Linked DNA regions of Tribolium castaneum. The main gene of each other region encodes a partner of the protein of the gene in region 7 in a complex. Links are inferred from orthologs where the notes say so. Each region holds a gene or a part of one and is shown on either strand. Other genes may lie near its edges. The genes, in order: 116 kDa U5 small nuclear ribonucleoprotein component, wmd, crn, SmF, Sf3b5, ncm and SmE.

What was found.
Region 1: SmE (region 7) and 116 kDa U5 small nuclear ribonucleoprotein component share a complex: the UniProt entries of both Homo sapiens proteins name them as parts of the minor spliceosome. The link is inferred for Tribolium castaneum from reciprocal best matches to the Homo sapiens genes SNRPE and EFTUD2.
Region 2: SmE (region 7) and wmd share a complex: the UniProt entries of both Homo sapiens proteins name them as parts of the SMN-Sm complex. The link is inferred for Tribolium castaneum from reciprocal best matches to the Homo sapiens genes SNRPE and STRAP.
Region 3: SmE (region 7) and crn share a complex: the UniProt entries of both Homo sapiens proteins name them as parts of the minor spliceosome. The link is inferred for Tribolium castaneum from reciprocal best matches to the Homo sapiens genes SNRPE and CRNKL1.
Region 4: SmE (region 7) and SmF share a complex: the UniProt entries of both Homo sapiens proteins name them as parts of the U7 snRNP complex. The link is inferred for Tribolium castaneum from reciprocal best matches to the Homo sapiens genes SNRPE and SNRPF.
Region 5: SmE (region 7) and Sf3b5 share a complex: the UniProt entries of both Homo sapiens proteins name them as parts of the minor spliceosome. The link is inferred for Tribolium castaneum from reciprocal best matches to the Homo sapiens genes SNRPE and SF3B5.
Region 6: SmE (region 7) and ncm share a complex: the UniProt entries of both Homo sapiens proteins name them as parts of the minor spliceosome. The link is inferred for Tribolium castaneum from reciprocal best matches to the Homo sapiens genes SNRPE and CWC22.

The regions. Positions count from the first base shown.
Region 1 is NC_087401.1:10,807,705-10,811,204, reverse strand, and holds part of 116 kDa U5 small nuclear ribonucleoprotein component, read right to left. Parts: intron 174-3,500; coding exon 1-173. UniProt on the Homo sapiens protein: Required for pre-mRNA splicing as component of the spliceosome, including pre-catalytic, catalytic and post-catalytic spliceosomal complexes. Component of the U5 snRNP and the U4/U6-U5 tri-snRNP complex, a building block of the spliceosome.
Region 2 is NC_087399.1:1,129,087-1,132,659, forward strand, and holds wmd (serine-threonine kinase receptor-associated protein), read right to left. Parts: upstream 2,257-3,573; 5' UTR 2,141-2,256; coding exon 2,026-2,140; intron 1,959-2,025; coding exon 1,668-1,958; intron 1,603-1,667; coding exon 1,478-1,602; intron 1,104-1,477; coding exon 651-1,103; 3' UTR 501-650; downstream 1-500. UniProt on the Homo sapiens protein: The SMN complex catalyzes the assembly of small nuclear ribonucleoproteins (snRNPs), the building blocks of the spliceosome, and thereby plays an important role in the splicing of cellular pre-mRNAs.
Region 3 is NC_087400.1:96,392-100,552, forward strand, and holds crn (protein crooked neck), read right to left. Parts: upstream 2,697-4,161; 5' UTR 2,599-2,696; coding exon 2,560-2,598; intron 2,506-2,559; coding exon 529-2,505; 3' UTR 501-528; downstream 1-500. Other genes in the region: protein OPI10 homolog, read left to right, coding at 1-287; Nle (notchless), read right to left, coding at 2,903-4,161. UniProt on the Homo sapiens protein: Involved in pre-mRNA splicing process. As a component of the minor spliceosome, involved in the splicing of U12-type introns in pre-mRNAs.
Region 4 is NC_087398.1:3,706,351-3,708,668, forward strand, and holds SmF (small nuclear ribonucleoprotein F), read right to left. Parts: upstream 1,033-2,318; 5' UTR 917-1,032; coding exon 742-916; intron 690-741; coding exon 598-689; 3' UTR 501-597; downstream 1-500. Other genes in the region: calmodulin-like protein 4, read right to left, coding at 1,324-1,739, 1,788-1,818, 1,869-1,871. UniProt on the Homo sapiens protein: Plays a role in pre-mRNA splicing as a core component of the spliceosomal U1, U2, U4 and U5 small nuclear ribonucleoproteins (snRNPs), the building blocks of the spliceosome.
Region 5 is NC_087396.1:17,669,933-17,672,196, forward strand, and holds Sf3b5 (splicing factor 3B subunit 5), read left to right. Parts: upstream 1-1,293; 5' UTR 1,294-1,417; intron 1,418-1,471; 5' UTR 1,472-1,473; coding exon 1,474-1,731; 3' UTR 1,732-1,764; downstream 1,765-2,264. UniProt on the Homo sapiens protein: Component of the 17S U2 SnRNP complex of the spliceosome, a large ribonucleoprotein complex that removes introns from transcribed pre-mRNAs.
Region 6 is NC_087398.1:673,937-678,227, reverse strand, and holds ncm (pre-mRNA-splicing factor CWC22 homolog), read left to right. Parts: upstream 1-1,491; 5' UTR 1,492-1,620; coding exon 1,621-2,785; intron 2,786-2,963; coding exon 2,964-3,633; intron 3,634-3,691; coding exon 3,692-4,127; 3' UTR 4,128-4,173; downstream 4,174-4,291. UniProt on the Homo sapiens protein: Required for pre-mRNA splicing as component of the spliceosome. As a component of the minor spliceosome, involved in the splicing of U12-type introns in pre-mRNAs. Promotes exon-junction complex (EJC) assembly.
Region 7 is NC_087394.1:32,141,501-32,143,967, reverse strand, and holds SmE (probable small nuclear ribonucleoprotein E), read right to left. Parts: upstream 1,152-2,467; 5' UTR 935-1,151; coding exon 650-934; 3' UTR 501-649; downstream 1-500. Other genes in the region: kelch-like protein 21, read right to left, coding at 39-198, 248-381. UniProt on the Homo sapiens protein: Plays a role in pre-mRNA splicing as a core component of the spliceosomal U1, U2, U4 and U5 small nuclear ribonucleoproteins (snRNPs), the building blocks of the spliceosome.

The DNA.
Region 1 (3,500 bases), on a different chromosome or scaffold from region 7:
GCTCCACGGCGATTTTAATGATGCTTTGGGTGTTGAATTTAAGGGGGCGGAAAATGTACAAGTCCTCGTAGATTGTGAGGTCTGTGATTGTGGCTGTTTTAACGATTGATTGGTCGATGCCCTCGATTAGGACCCAATTGCCGGCAGGGACGCGGTTTAGCTCGATTTTGTATCTGGAATTTTGATTAAATAATGCGGTATTTTTAGAATTTTTGAAAGTCAAGACGTAGTAAACAACTCGTTATCATTAATTCATTAGTCGAGGTCATGGAACTTATCTCTAGATGAACGGCCTTGGGGCTAAACGAGATTTTACAACTCGTTGGTTACCTCATTTATTGCGGTTGAGACGCGCAAAAAAATTGCTCCTGGGTTTATTAACGAATCTGATAAGGGCTTAATTGTTTTTTGTTGTTATTTTTGGAGGGGGGGCGAATGGTAAACATTACGACGGTTATGTTATATTATGAGTGTTATGACAAGCAGATGCTTATCAATTAATTAGAAAAATAGTAATTTAGTTAAAGACAGGACGTAGTAATTTTTTGTTTTAAATTTTAACAAGTTCCATTTTATTCCGGACAAACGAACTTATTTATGTTTCTTATGTAACGTCATTCCAGAAACTTAAATATGTATTCCCAGTATTTTCATGTAAGGCTCTAAAGCGTATAGTTTTCGAGTCACACATTTCTTAAATAAATCTAAAAATTGGAAAAATAAAAATCTACCCAATAGACAAAATATTTTGAACTAAACGCCCATATGTAAACTGCCCCGAGAAGTAAATTGAAGTTAAAAAATCGGAAAACTTCAGTTAATTTAGAAATTATCGACATCAGCTAAAAAAATTACAGACCATTAGAGCAATTCTCAATAGTTAAAGGTAAAAGTTGTGAAAAAATACAGAAAATCAAACAAAGAAAGAAACAAGCGTTTTTTTAAATTTAATCTAGTTATCCATGACAGTTACGCCAACAGTGAAACGTATTCGGAGATAAAATTAACTAGACGCCCTCTGGTGATGACTTTTGAACTATGTCGAAAACAGTAAAGAAATTTTCGTAATGCCACATTTAACTGACATTTAATGAATTGTTCAACAATTTTGCGTGTATAGTGTTAATTACTTACAATAGAAAGAATCACTTTAAAAGTACGTGGTGGTAAATACTAGCGTTGACTTTGGTTCTGTAGTTTTTCGTGGTATAAAGTGTTTATTGTTGGAACTTGAAAGTGGATAAAAAGTGAAAAATATTTAAATTTTGATTACAAAGTGTTATCAAACAGTTGTCTAATTAAAGATTATAAGTAATGGATCACAGCGAACACAAAGTTTGGCTCAAGAAACCAATAAATTAGTGAAGTGTGTGAATTTTAGGTTAGAATTTTCCACTGAAAAAATCATGAAATGCTGCGGTAAATCTACAAAACTACAATAAAGATTAACAACTGCTGATACATTTAAACGTAAATTATGCCAAAAGGTAGGCTTTTCAATGTCTTTGTAATAATTTTCCAATAAAGAAAGTGAACCAAACAGTCATTCGTTATTCGTGTTTTCCTCGTCATCTCTCATTTATCAACATAAGTTTCTTGCATCAAAGATGCAATAATCATTCCGCATAGGCAATGTAATAATTGTGAAGCCCCAAAATTCGTACAACGCTCAAAATATCCGAATAAACATTTTCCCTCCATTTATGGTTACTGTTTTCGACCTAGTTCAGTGGCGCCCCCAACGGTAATTTTACTTCCGAATTGCGTAAATAATTTCAGCATCGCTTTATCTGTCAATATGTCCAAAATATTCACCGAAGAACATAAAAAAAATATGTTGGAAACTTATTTCCGTAATGTACATCGAGTTAAAGTAACTGTCATGGATAACTAGATCAAAATTTTAGAAAATCGCATGATGTTTTAACCTCATGGTAAAATAAATAAATGAATAAATAAATAAATGGTAAAAGACACAATAAAATATAAGGGACAAAGTATACAATTATGTTCAACCGTATCGGTTTAAATTGCTTTAAAAACACAAAATCACAGGCACCACAGCACACAATTAAAGATAAAAATACCGAGAACTTTTTGTAGGAAATTTTTCATGGATTTTTAACGATATTCGCAGCATTTTGAAAAATATCACACAGCGCAAAATTGAAATTTTTAATAGAAATATATTTTTCTCATATTTGTTGTTCGATTTTCGTCAGTTTATTAAGAATATTTGTGCTTTTATTCCACGATTAATAAATTAGTTAAATGTAAATTGATTTAAAATAATTTGGAGCTGTGTTAATTTTTTGGGTATTTTATATCTCGTTTCGCCTCATAAAATTGTAGACTTAATTATGACTCACCCAGTATTGTAATTTTACGAGTTTTCCATTATATTCGCACCTATACAATTCATTAAAAATTAAAATCAAAAATGATTTTACGAGCATTTTAACGCATTTTTCATGCAGAAATGCAATTAATTACTCGTATTATCAACCATTTCAGGAATAATGACACCGAAATTTTCAAAATTATCGTAGTAATGTTAAGTTTCGATTAAGAATTCGGTTTATATTTAATGTATTTTGTGACAAGAGTTTTTTTTTTGTTGTGGATTTAAAATGGGAAAGGATAATCATTTAAATTGAAGTAATTCAGTGAATTCTAAAATTTACAAAAAAAATGGTTACATTAAAATGTGGACCTTTGGTCCAAATATATGTAATTTAAATTTTGTTTGAATTGATTAATAAATAAAAAAGTTACGAGGGGGTGCACTTTTCGGTGGGACACCCTGTACATTGTCTTGTAGACGGGAACATAAAATACTGACGTACTACAAGTGTTGAACATCTTTTGAAGAGTATTTTTCTAGTTTCTGGTAGAAAATTGAAATCGGTAAGTAAATTGATTAGTAATATTATTTTTATATCTTCGTAATTTTTGCTGTCCCGTCCGTTATTGTGGTTCTTATTTCTTACGTCGTTAACCAAGACCAAAAATTTTTAATTTCTGTCTAATTTTGATAATGTTAGTCTTTAATAATTAAAAAACCTGGCTGAATATTTTTTTAGAGATATTTTCACACACAAGATTTTTTTGTCCCGTCCGTTATGTGAAACAAAAATAAATTGCAAACAGTTTAACTGGTACTACCAGCTGTTTCAAAACGACAGAAATGTCAACAACGCATTTTACCGAATTATTTTTTTAAATAAAATTGATAAAAATGAAAAATAAAATTAAAACTCTAATGTTTAATGAACTATTAGCCCTAAATAAAATAAATAAAATTTAGAAACCTCACGTTGTAAAACCGTTTAATATCAAAAAAATGAGAACATTACAATTTTAAAAAACAAGAAAATCGTAATTTCATATCTTTGAAAACTCTAGGTTTTATAATTATAAACCCCATCTCTTTATTCATCGAACGTATCTTCAAAAGCATTGACAAATAAGGAAGTTGTATTTCTGTTTATGCAAGAGTC
Region 2 (3,573 bases), on a different chromosome or scaffold from region 7:
AAACGGAAGCTGATAATGCGGGAAAAATTATTTCCGCATCCGGGGCCCCTGAAATAGCATCATAACCCAATTCTTATTTTTTTTTTTTTGAATGACATAACCTCACTTTTTATCTTATTGTGATTACGCAGTTTTTATCGTACCATAGCGGTAATAAATTGGAGCTTGTAATTTATAAAGGTTTTTTTGCCTCTTACCGTTTTTAATTATGTGGAAAATGGGGGAAAAACAAGAGGTATAACCTCACTTTTTTTGTGGATTTTTTTTTCACATTTCTTTATTATTTATTAGCCAAGATCACTGAATGTAGCAATCGGGCCATTTCACTTCGTACTTATCAGTTTTATCACCTAGTGTTTTCCCATTGATCGACTGATTAAGGCCAGAACCTAACCTCGCTTTTTGCGATTCTTTGGTGCTTTTTCCTTGATTTGGGTCAACCGGTTTGTTTACAAATAACCCGCTTTCAATGTCAGGAATTTGGGACAAAAACTCGCCAATTTTCGTGATTATTTATTAAATATTCAAACAAATAGTAACATAAATAAATCAGTTTTCCGTCGCTTTTTCGTCTTCTGTTCACCTAATCGTGAAAGAACTACGAGTTACTTGGATTTGAGGAAGGAGGAGAAAACAAATTCGTCAAACAGCTAAATCGCGGGTACTTCTTTGGGTGACGTAATCGCGTCGTTGTTGATTTGGGGCCCGTCAACGCATTTCCAAAGTCCATAAGTCTTGCCAATTGTGGTTTGCCAAAGTCTTAAAGTGCCGTCTTCTGACCCGGAAGCGTACAATTCACCGTCGGGCGAGAATTTGACACAATGGACGGGGCCAAAGTGGCCCTTGAACGATTCGATTTCATTTCCAGTTGTGTAATCGAATTTGTAGACTTTCAAATCATCGCCACCGGCGACGAAAATCGTTTTGTCGGGGTGTAGCGAAGCCGAATTGACTGTCGTAGGAACGGAAAATTCTCTAATTTTGTTTAGAGATTCGGAGTCGAGGAATGTGACGTGATTTGAGTGGGTTACTGTGAGCACGGTGCCGTCTCTGGACACCTCAAGGCTGTTCGGAATCGACGGGAAGTCCATTTTCTGGACTTCCTGCAAAAAACTGTCTAGTATAATTATGATCAAGAGCGAAAGTTTTTAGACGGCCGGTCGTAGTAGGGCGACATCTTGCGGAATTTAATTTGTCAAAGTGACATTTACATTGTCAAAGTTGACAATTTTGCAAATTTGTTTTTTTATTTTTATAACGGCAATAACCTAGTAAATATTTGGAAACATGTATCATTTATCCCTTTCGAATGAAAAATCGTCTGATTAAAGCGGAAATTACATAATTTTGTTTTTTTTTCAAACGTTTTTTCTAAGTGTTTGAATTTGAAGTAGATTTAACTCGAATCTGGTCAATATTTTTTAAAGTAGCGACCGTCCGTCTAGAACAAAATTGACGTGGTTCGAGATTTGGTTACCTTTCCGGAACTCCGGTCCCAAACCCTCAAAGTCTTATCGTCCGCACACGAGACAAGATGCGTGTCATTCCTGAAAAAGATCACGTGTCTTATCCCGGAAGTGTGCCCCGTAAACTCCTCGGGTTCTGAAACAATAAATCAAATCGTTCCGATCAGAAAAGGAGCCAAGGCGAATGCGAGGCCACCTTACTCGCTTCGGGTTTATTCAGATCGAAAATTCGGACAATTTTTTCGTTGCTCCCCGTCGCCAATAAGGCACTGTCTTTGGAAAAGTTGACGCTTTTGACGATGTGTTTATGCTGGAAGGAGTGCAGTTCCTCGCCGGAGTTGGCGTCCCAGACCTTGCCGGTGAAGTCGGCGGCGCCGCTGGCGGCCTTGGTGGCGTCCTTGTTGAGCGCGACGCCCCAAACCGCCCCCTTGTGGCCCTCGAAGGTGCCGATCCAGTCGCCGGTGTCCCCTTGCCTTAGCATGGGTTTGCCGTCTGAAAGCGGCCTCGTACGGTGAATCCAGGCCAAGGTAAATGTCGCCGAAGGTAAAGTTTAACTTACCTTTGCATGCCGAAATTAGGAAATAGCCGTATTTTGTCACCGAACTGAAGTCGAGATGGACGACGGGACGAGTGTGGCCGCTACAGGTTAAGGGGGTTTGACGAAGATTTGCCATAGTTTTCTATTTTATTAGGTCAAACGGTACAAAAAAATTATACTAAAAACCTACACACCACACTAACACGAGGAGTTCAGAAAGCGAACTGAATTTGACAGCGTCAACAACAGCTGGGAAAGTGGCAATAAGGGACGCATGCGCGGGTGTATAATTGGTTACCTACCAATCACAAAAAAATTCATAACTCGGAAACTAAAAGTCGTAGAGCAATGCGGTTTGTTCCATTGAATTCAGCGGTTCATTTTCTGTATTATACCAACTTTTCATGAGATTTAAAATTTTCAATTTTTTTGCTCAAATTTCCTGAGTTATATTATAATACACTACTTACCTTCAAAGAGATGAAAAAAAAATTTTTTTAAACTGACTTCAGCAAATTTTTATGGACTTCTACATGTCTTAACAACCCACTAAAGTTGTTAAAGGTCCACAAAAAGTCCATATGTTCAATTTTTTGATGTTTGATTTTTTCAATTATCGTTGCAGTTTTTGTCGGTTTTGGGTACCCGGAACATTTCTCGAGCAATAGCTCCGGAACTATTAGAGATAACCCCATGAAGTGTATTATCGTTGGAAAGCTCTTTAAATTATCTTTTTTTTTCAAAAAAGATTATTCTTCTCCGACTAATAGTTTTCGAGAAAATTGCTGTTAAATGCAAAAATTGGTAAAATTTTAAAAAATTCATAACTAAAAAACTATTGGGAATTTGGCAATTTTCTCGATGCCAATTGATTCCCCGGATCATTTTGCATAGGTGTGGATCAAAACAGTTCCACTTTTTACAATAGTGTTTAGCCGTAAATGAGAAAATAAAAAAATTAAAAAAAAAGTTAACACCCCCCCCCAAAATCGGCCAATTTTTAAAGTGTCTCAAAATCAAAGGAAACCCATTCTGTCTTATAGATTTTGATGTGCTCTTTACGATCGAACAAACCGTTTTCTTCTAGCTCTTTTAGTTTGGCCGTAATCGGCGTTTGAAAATTGAAAAATTATTTGCGAGATATCGCCTTAAGTCCTATGCCATTTTGTAGAGTTTTTTATTCCGGTTATCCTCCATTTTTCCGTTTCTCGATATCTTTAATAGTTTCGCCGTAATTGACGATTGAAAATTGAAAAAAAGTGAAAACGGAAACCTTTTTTTGCGTTTTTCTCGGAAACTGTAAGACTTAGAGCAACGAACAAAAAACCATCTGATAGCGCTTAATTTTGTCTATTTTTTCGACCAAACCCGGAGCCGCTCCGGGCAACGGTTCCGGCTACAGAGGCGATCAAAGTTTTTCACTAAAAAAATTCATAAAAAAAAATTAAAAGTCGTAGAGCATTGCGGTTTATTCGATTGAATTCTACGGCTCATTTTACATATTATATCGATTTTTCACAAGAATTAAAAATTTAAAAATTTTTGCCTAAATTTAGGATAGCCATTTGT
Region 3 (4,161 bases), on a different chromosome or scaffold from region 7:
TTTTATTCGGGCAAAGTCACATCGTACACAATGCGCAAATAGGGATCGCTATTGAGCCGCTGGCGAATATTCGGGAAATCGAATCGGCGAATAATCCCAGTAATAATGTCACGTTTGCTCAGAAAATGTTGGAGAATTTTATGAATTTTGTGCTGAGTTATACGGTGACGCAACCGCAAATGGTCCCAGATCCCACGGCCACGTACGTTCCGTTGGCTACAGTACAGAACTGGTACACGAATTTTGAACGACGGTTGCAACAAAACCCCAATTTTTGGAAAACGTAGAGGAATGTGTGCATACGTGTGTCTTGTGTTCATCAAAGCTGGATTATGGCGGCTGTTAAGTCTCAAAACTCACTCGCTTTTAATGTATTTAAATGAATAAAGTATCGATTTTTTTATTATCTTATCATTTGCCCACAAAAAATTAATTGTTGCAGTGCAAAATCGTTGACCAGATAGCGCTTGGATAAGTGACAAAAGGGGAATAAAACAAAATTTAAACCTTAATTCTATTTTCTCAAAATCACGGTTCCGGTTCTTCCGTTTGCTTCTGCTTCTTCCAGCTTTTGGCAGCTGCCAATAACTTCAAATTGGGTTTACTGGCCTCATCCTCAGGGAATATATAATCAAAGATCTCCTCCCATCCTTGCTCAACACCATCCTCATCAATAACCTTCCTTCTCTTCTTAATCCTCCTTGGCATTTTCCCTTCAACTTTCTCCTTCGTCTCCTCGCTCCCATTTGCACTTTCAAACTCCTTCCAATTCTCCAATAACAAAACCCTCGCCTCCTTCTCCCCATAACTCTTCAAACTCTCATTAGCCCGCTCATAAACACGCCTTGCCAAACTAATATTCATATCCGACTCACAACTCAACTCAAACTTCGCATACGACAACCAAACTTTCACATGACTTGTCCTCTCCAACAATCTTTCGTACAATTGTCGGGCATTAGCCCACTCTTCTTGCCCGATCTCAAAATCGATATAGGCCTTCCAGAGCAGCTCAGGCATGTCTAGCCTTGGCTGAGCGATTGCCAACTCATAAATGGCCCTAGCACGCTCAAAATCCCCCAAAAGTGTCTCCAACTCGGCAAATTTCATCCAAGTCACACAATTTTCCGGACCAAACTCTAGATATTTCCCGTACAAAATACGACACCGGTCAAACTCACGCAACTGTATCTCTATATCAATATACCCACGGAACAATTTATCACGTGGGCATTTACCAATGGCAGTCCCCAAAATTTTACGAGCACCAATCAGATTCTTCCGCCTGATTTCAAACTGTGCAAACAACAACCAAATTTTACTAAACGTGAATAACTTATGGGGGATCAAGTCAAGGCAAGCTTTATAAACCTGACGTGTTCTTTCATAATCAACCGCTTCGATTTCCTCAAACAGGGCGTAATTAATCCACAAGTAAATATAACGCCTCCAGTATTGTTTATTTTTCGTTGGTGGCACGTTGGCTATGGCCCGCTCATACGTCTCACGTGACGTCTCAAGGTCCCCTTCCCCCTCCACCAGTCTCAAATAGTCAAACCAAGCGTCGTAATTGGTCGGATTTTCGAGTATCTCTTGTTCGTATTGAAACTTACGTTTCGAAACAATCACATCTTCAATACCGGAACGATCGCCGTACTTTTTCTCATGTATGGTGTAGGCTTTGTACAGCTCTTTCGCTTGTTCTTTGGGGAGATGGTCCAAGGCATACTTGTAGATAACGCGAGCACGGTCATGTTCTTTTTGGTTTTCTTCAAACCGTGCAAATGCAATATACAATTTTTCGTCCAAATGGTCATCACCGTAAAAATGTACAGCTCGTTCGTAAATCAAGCGGGCCGAGTTGATAAAACCGTGATTTTCTTCAAATCGGGCGTATTTAATCCAGTGTTTGACTTCGGGATGTGTTATAACAAAGCGTTCGTAGATTTCTCGCGCACGGTCGATTTCTTTGTATCTTAACTCAAAATTGATGTACGTTTGCCAGGCTTGTTCCTCCGGCTGCCACTCCATCCAGCGTTCAAAGACAGCTCTGGCCCCAGCCACATTCTCCAACATCTCCTCCATGTAGGTGTATTTGTACCAAAACTGGTTGATTCTGGGCAAAATCGTGACGGCTCTGTCCCATAAATTTCTAGCATGGTTCACTTGACGGTTTCGCATCTCCATTTCAGTGTATTTTAACCAAATGGTAACGTTACGATGGTCCACATCCAAGGCACGTTCAAATATCGAACGAGCTCGTTGGATTTCCTTTTGCGATTCTTCCCAATGGGCATATTTAATCCAATTGGAGATAACAGTTCGATTTTTTCGTATGTTGTCTTCGAATTGTTTACGGCGTCTGAGTTGGTAGTCGGCAAGTTCAGCTGGATCGGAGATTTTTTGCTTAGGGGGCGGAGGGAGAATCTCAAGGTCGCGCTCTTTTGCCTCGCGAAGGAGCTGCTCGGCTGTGATTTGGATCTCAGCAGGGGCTTTATTTTTCACCTGGAAAATTATTTTAGTTAGTTATTAAGTTGAAAGAGAAGGTAAATAACGTACCTTGGCCACTTTGGGCATCTTTTGCGGCTTGGTTTCCATCTCAGGGGCGACTTTTACCAACTTGTAGCACAACAAACAAACACGAACATAACCTTACGATTTTTTGTGGTTATGTTTGGACCACACAAATTGTGAAATATCGTGCCTTAAATTTTGATCGAGTGTTTGTTTGTTGTAATATAGATTAAACAATAATTTACGTAAGTAATTAAACTCCGCAAGCCAGTTTTTGTATTATTGGATTTGTAGATTTGCACTGGTGACGCCACATGTCGCGCACAATTACAGTTTTCTGTTTTTTTTTTAAATAAAATTCGAGAAAAATTACAAAATTTTATTGCATTTAATTTTGCCACAACTTTAAGACTTTGTCTTTACCCCCCGAGGCCACTTTGGAGCCATCTGAGGCCCAATCAAGCGCATAGACCTCATCCCCATGACCTGGCAGATCAATTTCCAATTTCTTCTCCCTCAAATTCCACAATTTGAGTGTTGAATCGGCACTTCCACTCACTAAAAGTCTAGAATCGGCCGAAAACGAAATCACATAAACAGCCTGTACGTGCCCCCTTAACGTACAAATAAATTTACCACTTTTGGCCTCCCATAATTTAATACTCTTATCAAACGAAGCCGAGGCAAAAATGCGACCATCTGGTGAAAATTTCACATCGTTAACTAATTGTTGGTGCCCCGTGAGCCGATTTAACGGCTTCTTGTCTTTTGAGGGGGCCCACAAAAACAAAGTGAAATCATCGGAGCCCGAGACGAGTCTTTCATCACCGATAGGGTTAACGATTTCGTTGTAACGACGCAGGACGAAGTCTTGTGATTGGATTTGGGTGTCTTTGACTGGGTCAAACGCCCCCAATTTGAGGATATAATCAGTGTTGAGGGCCAAAGTGTTGACCCAATGACCGTGCCCTTCTAACGTACGACACAACACACCGTCTTTAGCCCTCCAAACTTTAACAGTCCGGTCCTGCGAAGCCGTATAAAGGAGCCCCAGACCGCCCCACTTGACCACAGTCACACTTTTCAAATGCCCAGAAATAACCCTAGTACAAGAACACAGGACCGTATCCCAAATCCTGACGTCACAATCTTTACTCGCCGAGGCTAGAAAGCGACACTCGGCGTTTTGGTGGTAGGGTTCCCAACTCAGGGCCGTGACCCATGATTTATGCCCAATTAGAGTTTTACCAATCTGGGCCCCATTTTCGGGGTTCCATACCACCACCTTGCCGTCTTTACACGCCGAAGCTAGTTTACGCCCATTGGGGGCCCACGCAATGCACAACACCCAGTTCGTGTGCCCTTTACATGTCTTAAAAGGTGTCTGGGTGTCCACGTCCCAGAACCGAACGGTTGTATCGCCAGAACCACTCGCTAGGTGTCTACCATCGGGGGAAAAACTCACGGAAATGACAGCTTCGGCATGGCCTGGCATTGAACTTGTACATCTTGTCACGGGACGCACTCGGAACACGGCTTGTTGCTGGTAGAGGATGTCGATGACGGTTTCGGTGTTCAAGTCCGACAAGTTTAAGGTTTTTTCGAGCGAATGTGTGATTTCGGTGTCGTTGGCGTAAAAAATGTACG
Region 4 (2,318 bases), on a different chromosome or scaffold from region 7:
AAAGGGTTTTTGAATTTTTTCGCTTCGGCCCAAAAAATATTTTTAGTATTTGACTCTTCATTTGATGACACTTAATTTTTTTTTAATTTTTCTTGTGACCAATGTGTGCCAAAGTTATCAAATTAAATTAAATTGATGCTTTTTAAAATATAAAGTATGTTTTGGCTCCCTCTCGGGTAAATGCAAAAGCAGGTGTATGAGAGGTAACTGTAAGTGCAGGGGAACTTTCTTCAGTTGTGCTGCTATCTGTTCGTTTTGCCGTTAACTACAAGGATTTAATTTACATTTTTGGTACTTAATTATCATTTCCTTATTCCATTATAATTATTTATAGAACACTGTATGTATCCCCCACTTTATAGCGTCCTTTAATGTTAAACAAATAAATATATTTTTGTATTTTTTTTCAAAAGCAAGTTCTCTTGTTTATAATCCGTAACAGTTTGTGTATTTTTTTTGTGGTAGACAATCGTAACGTTACATGTAGAAAAAAAAACAAGTACTTTAACACGATTTATTTGGTAAAAAATTAAATCTACAATACTTATTTACGTAAGTATCCGATCGTACATTTAAACTTGAATTTACATTAAATAATTAATCCTTCGTCTCTCCCTCCTCGTCCTCTTCTTCAGCCCCTCTTATGAACAAGACATTGTTACATCTAATTAAAACTTCCCCTAAGTTACCTGTAAAAAAATGTTACACAAGGGGGTCCGCCTCCAAAGCATAGTTACATACCAGTCATATTCCCATCAATAAATTCCTCTGTGTTTGCTAATTGTAAATTCATGTAACCATCAACTGAGACAAGGTAACCTTTATATTCGTGCCCCCACTTCAATTTTACCATCACAGCCTTGCCTGTTAGGCCGTTGAGGAAAGGTTTGGGGTTTATGGGCATTGCGGTCGACATGGTTGTTGTTTTTGTGTGCAAAAAATCGCAAATAAACTAAAAACGTTGACACAACGCTAACCAGCAAAAGTGAGGTTGGAATCGAGCGACAATTGTGTCAATTGTCAAAATTTCCATCCACCATCGACGTATAAAAAGTTGATGGGTGTCTGATTTTTTAGGGCGCATATTGTTTTTTTGTGATTCTTGGACTAAAATTACCGTAATTAAAAAAAACAAGGATTGTGGTCAATTAATGATTTATTGGCGTTAGAATAAATAACTGTGCGGGGGTTGATTGCCGGCTCTCTATTTTACCAAACCGAAAAATCATTGCCAACCCCCCAGTGCGAAAATCCGAAAATAAAAATTTGTGACATGTGTTTTACATAATTTCGTGGAAAAGACTGTGTTAGGGTAAGCCCCCTCTAGTAATAATCCGGCACTGGTGCACAGGCAATCTTAACAAAATCCTCGTACCGCACCATACTGTTGTTATTAACATTTGCCTCTCTGAAAATCCGATCAATTTCCTTGGCCGAAAGACACTCGCCCCAGTTTTGCAACATGTGACGCAGCTGCTTGGCCGGAATCACCCCTTTCCCCTCCGGGTCCCCAGCCTTGAAGGCGTCCACCACCTCCTTGGGCACGTTCTCCACCCGTGAGTGAATATGCATAACCTCCAAGAAGTCAGCAAAGCTCATTTTGCCGTTCTTTTGCTTGAAATAACCCGCAAGCTCTGAGATGGTGGGCGACAGCCCCAGACTCCTCATTATCACTGTGAGTTCGTCCAGGGACTTGATGTGCCCCGAGCGCGCAAACAAGTAGAAACACTCGCGAAATTCTACAAGATTTACGAGTTAGTTTGGGGGGCTATCACGGGGGTACCTACCGTCAATGTCTTGCTCCTTGAAGTAGCGGGCCTGAAACAAGCTTGATTAGGTTTGGGGTGGGTTTAGCGGGTTATTTTTACCATTTTTCTTGTAAATATTTACACGTCAATTGTATTATTATTATCAAGGTGAAACAGGTGAAAGTACAGTTAGCGTCACGAAATTTGGCACAGACTCGTCATTAATGAATTATTTATTTTTATCTCTGATAAAATGATGATTTTATCGCCCAATTGTGCCAGGTAATTGTTTGGGGCCCCGATTAGTGGGAGCCCTTAATCAGGGTTGTAAACCCCCCGAACGAATCGATTTATCGCCTCATTTCTAACGTAATTTATTAATAAATAAAGTTATATAACAAAACAGCTCGTCATTTGCGATAGTCTTATCACTCCACGCTTAGATGTTGTTAAATCCCCGTCCAATTAAAAAAAGGTAACACACTTTGAACTTTGCCTCCTTTCCTCCGACTCTCCTCTAATTCTTCATTCCCGTTCCAGTTGACCCAATAATGCCTTGATTAGTCTTCC
Region 5 (2,264 bases), on a different chromosome or scaffold from region 7:
TCCTGATAAAAAATGGTTATATTTAAATTACGATAAGTATAACGCAAACAAAAACTACAGGCTGATAGAGCATTTAGGGCCACATTCATAATCGGGTTTAAAAGAGCATTAAAGTAGATGTTTATTTTTCACAAATCTTTCACACATTCCAAAAAACATTTAATTTAATGCTCCGTTAAATTCGATTATGAAAGTGGGCCTACATTTTCGATGGCAAGAAATAAAAGCACAAAAATTATCATAAACAATATTAAAAAAAGCAAACTTTCACCATATTTTTTAAAACGCTGCAAATATGGTTGAAAAAAGTGTATAGAATGCTTTTTTCCGAGAAAGTCTGCCATATCATATTTCTATCATTAACCATTTATTAGGTTTAAACAAATTTAGCGTGAGCGGCTGAAATATGGCCTCAAGAATTTTTTTCCACAAAAAAATGTCTGTTAGCTGTTTCAAATTTATAAAAACGCCAACGTTGCATTTTACCGATTTTATTTTTAAATAAGATTGATAAAAATATGAAATAGTTATTATTGATTAAATCTCTTATTGAAACTATAAATTACATTAGTTATTATTTTTTTGAAGTGCATGAATAATTTATAATAGCTAATTTTGAGAGAAAATGCGACGTTAGCGTTTTTATAGTTTTGAGACAGCTAATAATATACGTATTTTTCCCCATTTTTTCAGTTCGTCTCCTTTTTTCTCAAAACAGTTAAAAACTGACCAAATAAACACATAATGTCTATATACGTAAAAAATTACTAAGTATAAAAACTAGCATAACATAATATAATAATAAATAATAGTATATTTAAAAACAAGTTTTCTATGGGATGAGTGCGCCAAAACCCTTATAAAACGAGAATGTTTTTATGATTTTTTCTTATTTTAATTAAATTTTTTTGTCGTCTAGGGAATTTCGTGTCAGTTGGTGACGGTAATAAATAATAAATAAAGAAGAAATGATGATTAAATCGATCGTACGTGTATTCCACGCATTATCGATGAAACTCTTGAAAACTAAATATCCCTAAATTCATTAAAGTACACTGTACTTTAATAGCCATAAACGACTCCTACTGATATATGTTAATACACGTGTATTATAAACGAAAAATATAATATAATAATAGAGAGACTGACCACTATCCTGTTACACTACAAAACGAAGGATTTTTAAGGCTCATATTTACAATTGCGCGTTATTCAAGTGAAAATAGTATAGCATTTTTGGTGGCACCTAAAGAAAATTTCAGAAATACAACACACCCTGTATAATAAATGTTAGCGAGAGGAATAAAAACCTAGGGACTTTTTTGCTGCCGAACAACAGTGGCAACCCTAACATTTAACACTAATGAGTAGTGAGTTGAGTTCGAGGTTAGGTGAACTTAGGAGCATCAAAACAAAAGTGTGTTTCTTCTTTGTGTGTCTCTATTTCGTAATTTACTGCAATTTGTAAAAGTAATGGGCGACCGCTACAACATCCACAGCCAGTTGGAGCATCTCCAATCGAAATATATCGGAACAGGCCACTCTGAAATAACGAAATACGAATGGCTGCTGAACCAGCATAGAGACAGTTACGCCAGTTATTTGGGGCACCACGATTTGTTAAATTATTTTGCGATTTGTGAGAACGAGGCAAAAGCCCGAGTTAGGTTTAATCTAATGGAGAAAATGCTTCAACCGTGTGGTCCACCTCCAGATAAACCCGAGGATTAGATTATAGTAAAGTCAATAAAAATTTTCATATAATCGTTGTTTTTTTTAAAAGACCATTTTAGAATTCTTCCGATAACTAAAATAATTGTAGCCGAAAGGTCTACTTTGTATTTCATTTCGCCTTTATTAGAATAGAATACCTACTTTATTTGTGTCAATACTAATTGCACTAATAGAGTATTCCACACACGCCGCAAAATTAACTTACATTTAAATAGGTATTACTGTATTACATAGGCAAGATATCACTAAAATCATTCCGAAGATATGTATTCCTTAATCGAATAAAAAGTTTTGGAAATTAAATAGTGTTTCAAGTTCTTTAATAAAAACATGGAGGAAAATTTCTAAAGGTAGTGGAAGGGCATTTAAAAATGTATTTATTTATTACCCTTATTAGGAATATAATTTTTTCTAGTACAATAATTTATGACTTTAAGAGAATATTCTTAGCTTTAGTTCGCTGCATTTTTATAAAAAAAAAACAGATTTTCAATATATTTATTTTTTATTTACCAATTATAGTGACAATA
Region 6 (4,291 bases), on a different chromosome or scaffold from region 7:
TGGAGGCCTTATTTTCGGTCTTGTTGCGCATTTTACGATAACCCTTTTGTGACCTTTTTATCGGAACTGCACCCAAAACTATAATTAAAATTCTTTCCCCTAACTACTCAAGCGAGTGGTCAATTAATTTCTAAAAAAAGAGCGATTTGTGCGAAATAATTATTTACCATGACTGCAAGTTCCACTTGTAATTATTCCAAGCAAGATGATTAACAAAAGTCGCAACCTTGGGCCCAGCACCTTTAGCACCTACACCAACCCGGCACGCTTTTTTACTTAGAAAAAGTACCAAAAATTGGGCAAAATTTTGGAAAAATGGGAGAGGAGAACGCGCACGGTATCGGCACCGAAAGGTTGAGAACCAACTGAATTGCTATAGCATGGGTACTCTCCATAAAGCAGCCTCGGGCTCTTTTGTACGGATTGGTTTCGTTGGTCGATCTTTGAAACAGCTGGAGCTGGGTTTAAGTTCACTTGGCAGTGACCTTGATGCCTCGAAAACGCTGCATTCGCACTGTTTATTGTTCAAACTGTTTAATAAAATATGGTACACGCAAACATTTCACATATTCATGGGAGGCCTCCGCGAAATTCCGCAAAATTAAAATGCGTGACCTTATCGTTCTCCGCGCCGATTTTTTAAAATCCACAAACTGAATAAAATACCTTGTAACACTTTCAGTATGCCGTAAAAACGCTCTTTTCACCGCGGAAGTATTGTTGAGAAATCTTTGATCGAACTTGTTATTGTGCCATAAAAATTTAATTGTACGCTAGAGCTGTTATTAGCCACTATTATCGGTTTTTGCTTGTTTTTGCACCAACAGCCATTTCTCTTCAAGAAAAAGCGAAAGTCTGTGTCAAGTTATTCATTTTATGGGAACACATTAAAAGTCGCTGTCGAAGTAAATATTCTGAAAATATCGCGACCTGAGAACCATAAGGTTCTGACTATTTCACAATTTTACAATATCATATCTTGTCTTCTCAATTGCCTGAAATGTTATCATAAAATATAACACGTATTATATGTTAATCTACAAACAAACAATACACAATACAAGAAAAAAATAGCAAACTTTTCAGACATGCTCTACTTAAAATTTTATTGTTTTGAACTTTTAAATCAATATTTAAGGTTCCAAAGTAACAAATTTTGCCAAAATTACTTCCATGTAGGTACTTTTTGTTTTCTATCAATAGCTAAACGTTACATCATCTAGTTTTCTTTTATTTAACATTTAAAGATCATTAAAATCCCAAAATTCCCAGGTCGTGATATATTTTTTAGGCAAACGTGACCCCCAAAATCACATTCAAATTTTTTTGAAATTTTAGATTTGTCACTAATTTAGTAAGTCTGTAAATTTTCAAATATGTCTGGAATTAATAAAACCACCAATTCCTGGCCCTCTAGTTATGTTATAATTGCGTAAACACGTACATATAATTAATTATAATTTATTCTAAATGCACAAAAAAATCTGGCGACTTTAAAATTCAAAAATAGTAGGGAATTTGTCATTATCACCAGTGCCACATAACCTCAACCTCTTGCGTTGTTGTGTGTTGTCAATAATCGCCCCAATTTCTTACTGTGTTTTTGTGAGTGCTTAAAAAATGACCACCGACACCGAAACCTCCCCACAGCCCAAACCCAAGCGTAAAAGCCGCTCCAAATCCCCTGAATCCCGTAAAAAACGTCGTGACGACTCGCCCCATAAAGACTCCCGGAAGCGTTCCCGCCGTTCGCGTTCACGAGACCGTCGCAAAAGTCGCAAATACCACGACTTGGACCGCCCCCTTGAAGAATACCCTCGGTATTACGGCGAGGATCAAGAACACAAGAAAAACAGCGATAGATATTGGACCAAATACCCCCGCAAGGATGACCATCAGGTGGGTAGTAGGTATTACGGGGGCGAGCCCGACGATAAAGACAAAGAGTCTGAGAAGGAGACGGATAAGTCGGTGATAGCCCCCCGTGAGCGCAAAACCGTGGATTTACTGACACGGACAGGTGGGGCTTACATCCCTCCAGCGAAGCTGCGGATGATGCAAGCGGAGATTACTGATAAGAGCTCGGCGGCGTATCAAAGAATTGCGTGGGAGGCGTTAAAAAAATCCATTCATGGGTTTATTAACAAGGTGAATACGTCCAACATTGGGATTATTTCGCGGGAATTGCTCCATGAGAATGTGGTAAGGGGGCGCGGACTGCTCTGCAAGTCCATAATACAAGCGCAAGCTGCGTCCCCAACTTTCACAAACGTGTACGCAGCCCTGGTCGCTGTCATCAATTCGAAATTCCCTAATATTGGAGAATTGTTACTGAAACGTTTGGTTTTGCAATTCAAGCGCGGTTTCAAGCAGAATAATAAAATTATCTGCATTTCGGCCACGACTTTTGTGGCTCATTTGGTTAATCAGAGGGTTGCGCATGAAATTCTCGCCTTGGAGATTTTGACTCTTTTGGTGGAGACGCCAACTGATGATTCGGTTGAAGTTGCGATTTCGTTTCTGAAGGAATGTGGACAGAAATTGACTGAGGTTTCGAGTAAAGGCATTAATGCCATCTTTGAAATGTTGAGGAATATTTTACATGAGGGGAAGTTGGAACCGAGGATTCAGTACATGATTGAAGTTATGTTCCAAATCAGGAAGGACGGGTTTAAGGATCATGCCGCTGTTATTGAAGAGTTGGATTTGGTGGATGAGGAGCACCAGTTTACACATTTGATTACGCTGGATGATGTTAAGCAATCAAATGCTGAGGATATTTTAAGTAAGGAAACTTTTTAATTAGGTGGAACTGTACTTAATTTTTTATACAAAAAAATCGGGGTATCCAGGTTTTGAGATTTTTTATTATTATTTTTTTATTTCTCAGAAAAAATTATTTTGAAATTTTAATTAATTAATTCCTTAATTTGCCTCGTTCACTCTGTGATTATCCTGTCTAGATGTGTTTAAATTCGACGACAACTACGAGGAAAACGAGGGGAAGTACAAGACTTTGAGCAAGGAAATCCTGGACATGGACAGCGAGTCGGGCTCCGGCTCGGAGGAAGAGTCCGGTGACGAGGAAGACGACGAAGACGAGGACGAAGAGGAAGAAGAAGGCGCCCAAAAGAACGAATCCAACATAATCGACAATACGGAGACCAACCTCGTGGCCCTACGCAGAACAATCTACTTAACCATCCAATCAAGTTTAGATTTTGAGGAAAGTGCCCACAAACTAATGAAAATGGAACTGAAACCGGGCCAAGAAATCGAATTATGCCACATGTTCCTCGACTGTTGTGCCGAACAACGGACTTACGAGAAGTTTTACGGATTATTGGCACAGAGATTTTGTCAAGTGAATCAGATTTATGTCGAGCCATTCCAACAAATCTTCAAAGACACGTACGCCACAACACACAGACTTGACACAAATAAATTGCGAAATGTTAGCAAGTTTTTCGCACATTTGTTGTTCACCGATGCGATTGGATGGGAGGTTTTAGAAATTATGAAACTGAACGAAGAGGATACCAATAGTTCCAATCGGATTTTCATCAAGATTTTGTTCCAGGAATTGGCCGAATATATGGGCTTGGAGAAGTTAAATGCCAGGCTTAAAGATGCGTAAGTGACTGTGTTTGATAATTAACGAGGTTTTGTTAATTTTTTGGATTTTTTTCAGAACGCTTCAGCCACATTTTGAGGGGCTGTTTCCGCGCGATGATCCCAAAAATACAAGATTTGCGATTAATTTTTTCACGTCGATTGGCTTAGGGGGGCTTACGGCCGAGTTGAGGGAACATTTGAAAACAGCCCCTAAAGTCAATCCCTTGACGATTACTGAAAAATCAAGTGATTCTAGCAGCAGTAGCACTAGCAGTTCAAGCTCATCCAGTTCCGATAGTAGTGATTCGGATTCGTCAAGTTCCGAAGATGAGAAACCACGTAAGAAGAAGGAAGAAAAGAAGAGGAAAAAACCGACAAAAGAAGCATCAGACGATGATAAAAAACGAAAAACAGATGCGAGGAAACACAGACATAATGAGAGACGGTCACGCGATCGAGACGATCGGAGGCGGCGTAGGAGCCCCGAGAGGAAGCATAAGAGTAGGAGATAAGTTACTTTGTACATAAATTGTATTGAATAAATATTTTTATTTGTGACTTGTGTTTGATTCCTTAAAGTTACCAGATTTGAATTTGGCGCTTAGTCAAACCCACACTTTTGGCATTTTTTTTGACGAAATGTGGGTGTTAATTAAATTGCGTGTTTGTGCTTTTG
Region 7 (2,467 bases):
ATTACAAATAAATAAGAGAAAAAAAAAATTTAATTTACCAATCAGAAGTAAGCGGACGTGAGAAATGACATGTGAGAGGTGCTGGCACACTCTGGCCCTCTCTTCTTCAGTCCAATGGGCTGTGGGTTGGGTGACACCAGCTTGGTACTTTGCCCAGTTTAAAATTGCTCTCCAGACATCCTCTTCCTCCAAACAGAGCTAAATTGAAACAGTAATAAATGATTTTAAGTAAAATTTTAAAACTTACATAATCTGAGGAGATTAATTTTAAGACTGCTTCTTTGGGAAGAGAAAGAAATGAGTTTGTTTTTACACATTCTACAGCATTTTCGCCAATGTAGCTGACGCAACGTTCGACAAAACCTGTCGCAGCTTTACCCCCTACAAAAAAAATATATTGGAACACCTACAAGCTTCACAATTCTAAAAAAGCGATAATTACCTGTATTGTCCATCACATTTTAATTTTAAGGACTTTGAAGTTATAAAAATAGACATAATTACTAAAATAATTTTAATGTCCGCATTTCTTTTACAGAAAGTTGATGAATCACTTAATACTAAGACCAATTGCGGTTTTCATACAAACACATTACTCCAACGAATGAAAAAATTGTTATGAAACTTAGAATTACGCTACAATTTACAACTAATTGCCTGATTGAGGATTCACGTTCTGTATCAGCGTTATGTTATCTCCTTTAAGCATGATTCTTCCCAGCTGCCTCCTGTTCTTCGTTTTAACGTAATATTCCTCAGCATCATCCAGCACAAGATTCATGTATTCATCAAAACCCACAATGTGCCCCTCGATTCTCAGATTAATGTTCTCGTATAACCACACTTGTACACGTGAACGGTTTTGTAAGTAACGAAAAATTAAGTTGATGGGTTGTACCATCACTTTTTGAACTTTTTGTGGTTTGTACGCCATGGTTAGAGGAGTCTTGGGTTACCGGCAAAAAAAGTTCTTTAAGGAAGCTAAGTGCAAACACACTTTCACACAGCACGAATTATTCGTATTAAGAGAAAAAAACTTGTTCAAAGTTTGCAATAGTATTTATAAAACTTAAAAAATGAGGCGACGCTTACAATACGACCAAAGTAAGGTTATCTGTGTGAGTTCTGTATTCTGTTGGCAATCGTGGAACGCGGGAAGCTTGACGAGCTGAAATACACCAGAAAAAGGTCTGGTGGTTTGGTCGTTTTTAGGCTGTTTCGAAACTATAAAAACACCAACGTCCCATTTTTTTTCCAAAATTATTCACGCAGAATTATAGTCGCACAATTTATATTTTGGGTTTTCCTTAACTAATCAAGCTGAGTTATTCCATAATTATCATCAGATGGGCGTAAATGTCTCGAAAAAAATTTTTTTTATTCTCATTTAGCTTTCTTTGACGTGATAGTTTTTTATATATTTTTTTTGAACTTGGTGTCTCATAAACTCAATTTTTTTTTAATAAGGTTGATAAAAATGTAAAATAGTTATTAATAAATAAATCATTGAGACTATAAATAACATTACCTATTAGTTTTTTGAAGTGCATAAATAATTTATAACAACTAATTTTGAGAGAAAATACGAGGTTGGCGTTTTTATAGTTTTGAAATAGCTAATATGAGGAGTTGCGCCGTGTCTTACACACACACAATCGTCAATAGGTCTTTCTTTGTCATTGTTACCCTTAATGACACAATTTTGGTTTTGGCGGGATAATTTTACGTGACTTTAAAGAAAAAAACGACAAGCTATAAACTCGATATAAAGATGTGAAACGACATTTAAATCAACTCTTTACTGAATAGGAAGGGTTATTTTGCTCAAAAAGTTAGATAAATGCCTGAAATCACACTTAAGAAAAAATTGCCAAGAGTGCTTTGACTTTGCACCAAATGGATGCTGCTTTTAACAGTTGTCATCGCGTGATTGTCAGTCAGTGTTGTTATCTCTCAGAAAATCGAACGAAACTAGTGATTATTTGGACTGGGTGGTTCAAAAATGCAAAGTGGGGCACCTGTTTTTGTGGAATATTTGTGAATTTGAAAGTGCGGGCGCGCAGACTGTGACCTGGCGCGATGCGCACAACGACCTGCCCCTTGACTGTGTTTATGGAGAATACTCGGGGAAAAACCGGCTCAAAAGACACATTTTTCAATTTGGGTAAGGTAAGTGCTACACCTTTGCGGCCCAAAACCTCTTTGAACCTTAATTTTTTTATTTGCACCGGAGATTATTTTTATTTATATTATTTATATTTTCCAAACTGTGATGAAGTGTAAAGTGTTGTTTGAGTCTTAATAGCCCCAAAAACTAGAATTAGGCGAGAAAAATCTCAAAATTAATGCCAAAACGATACAAAATTGATGTTAATGAGCCCTAGCCGATCCCAAAGGACCAAAGGATCATTTATATGAAATCTGTGCATAGGGGTTGAGTGTTTTTTCCCAATTTTCAAATGCTCAA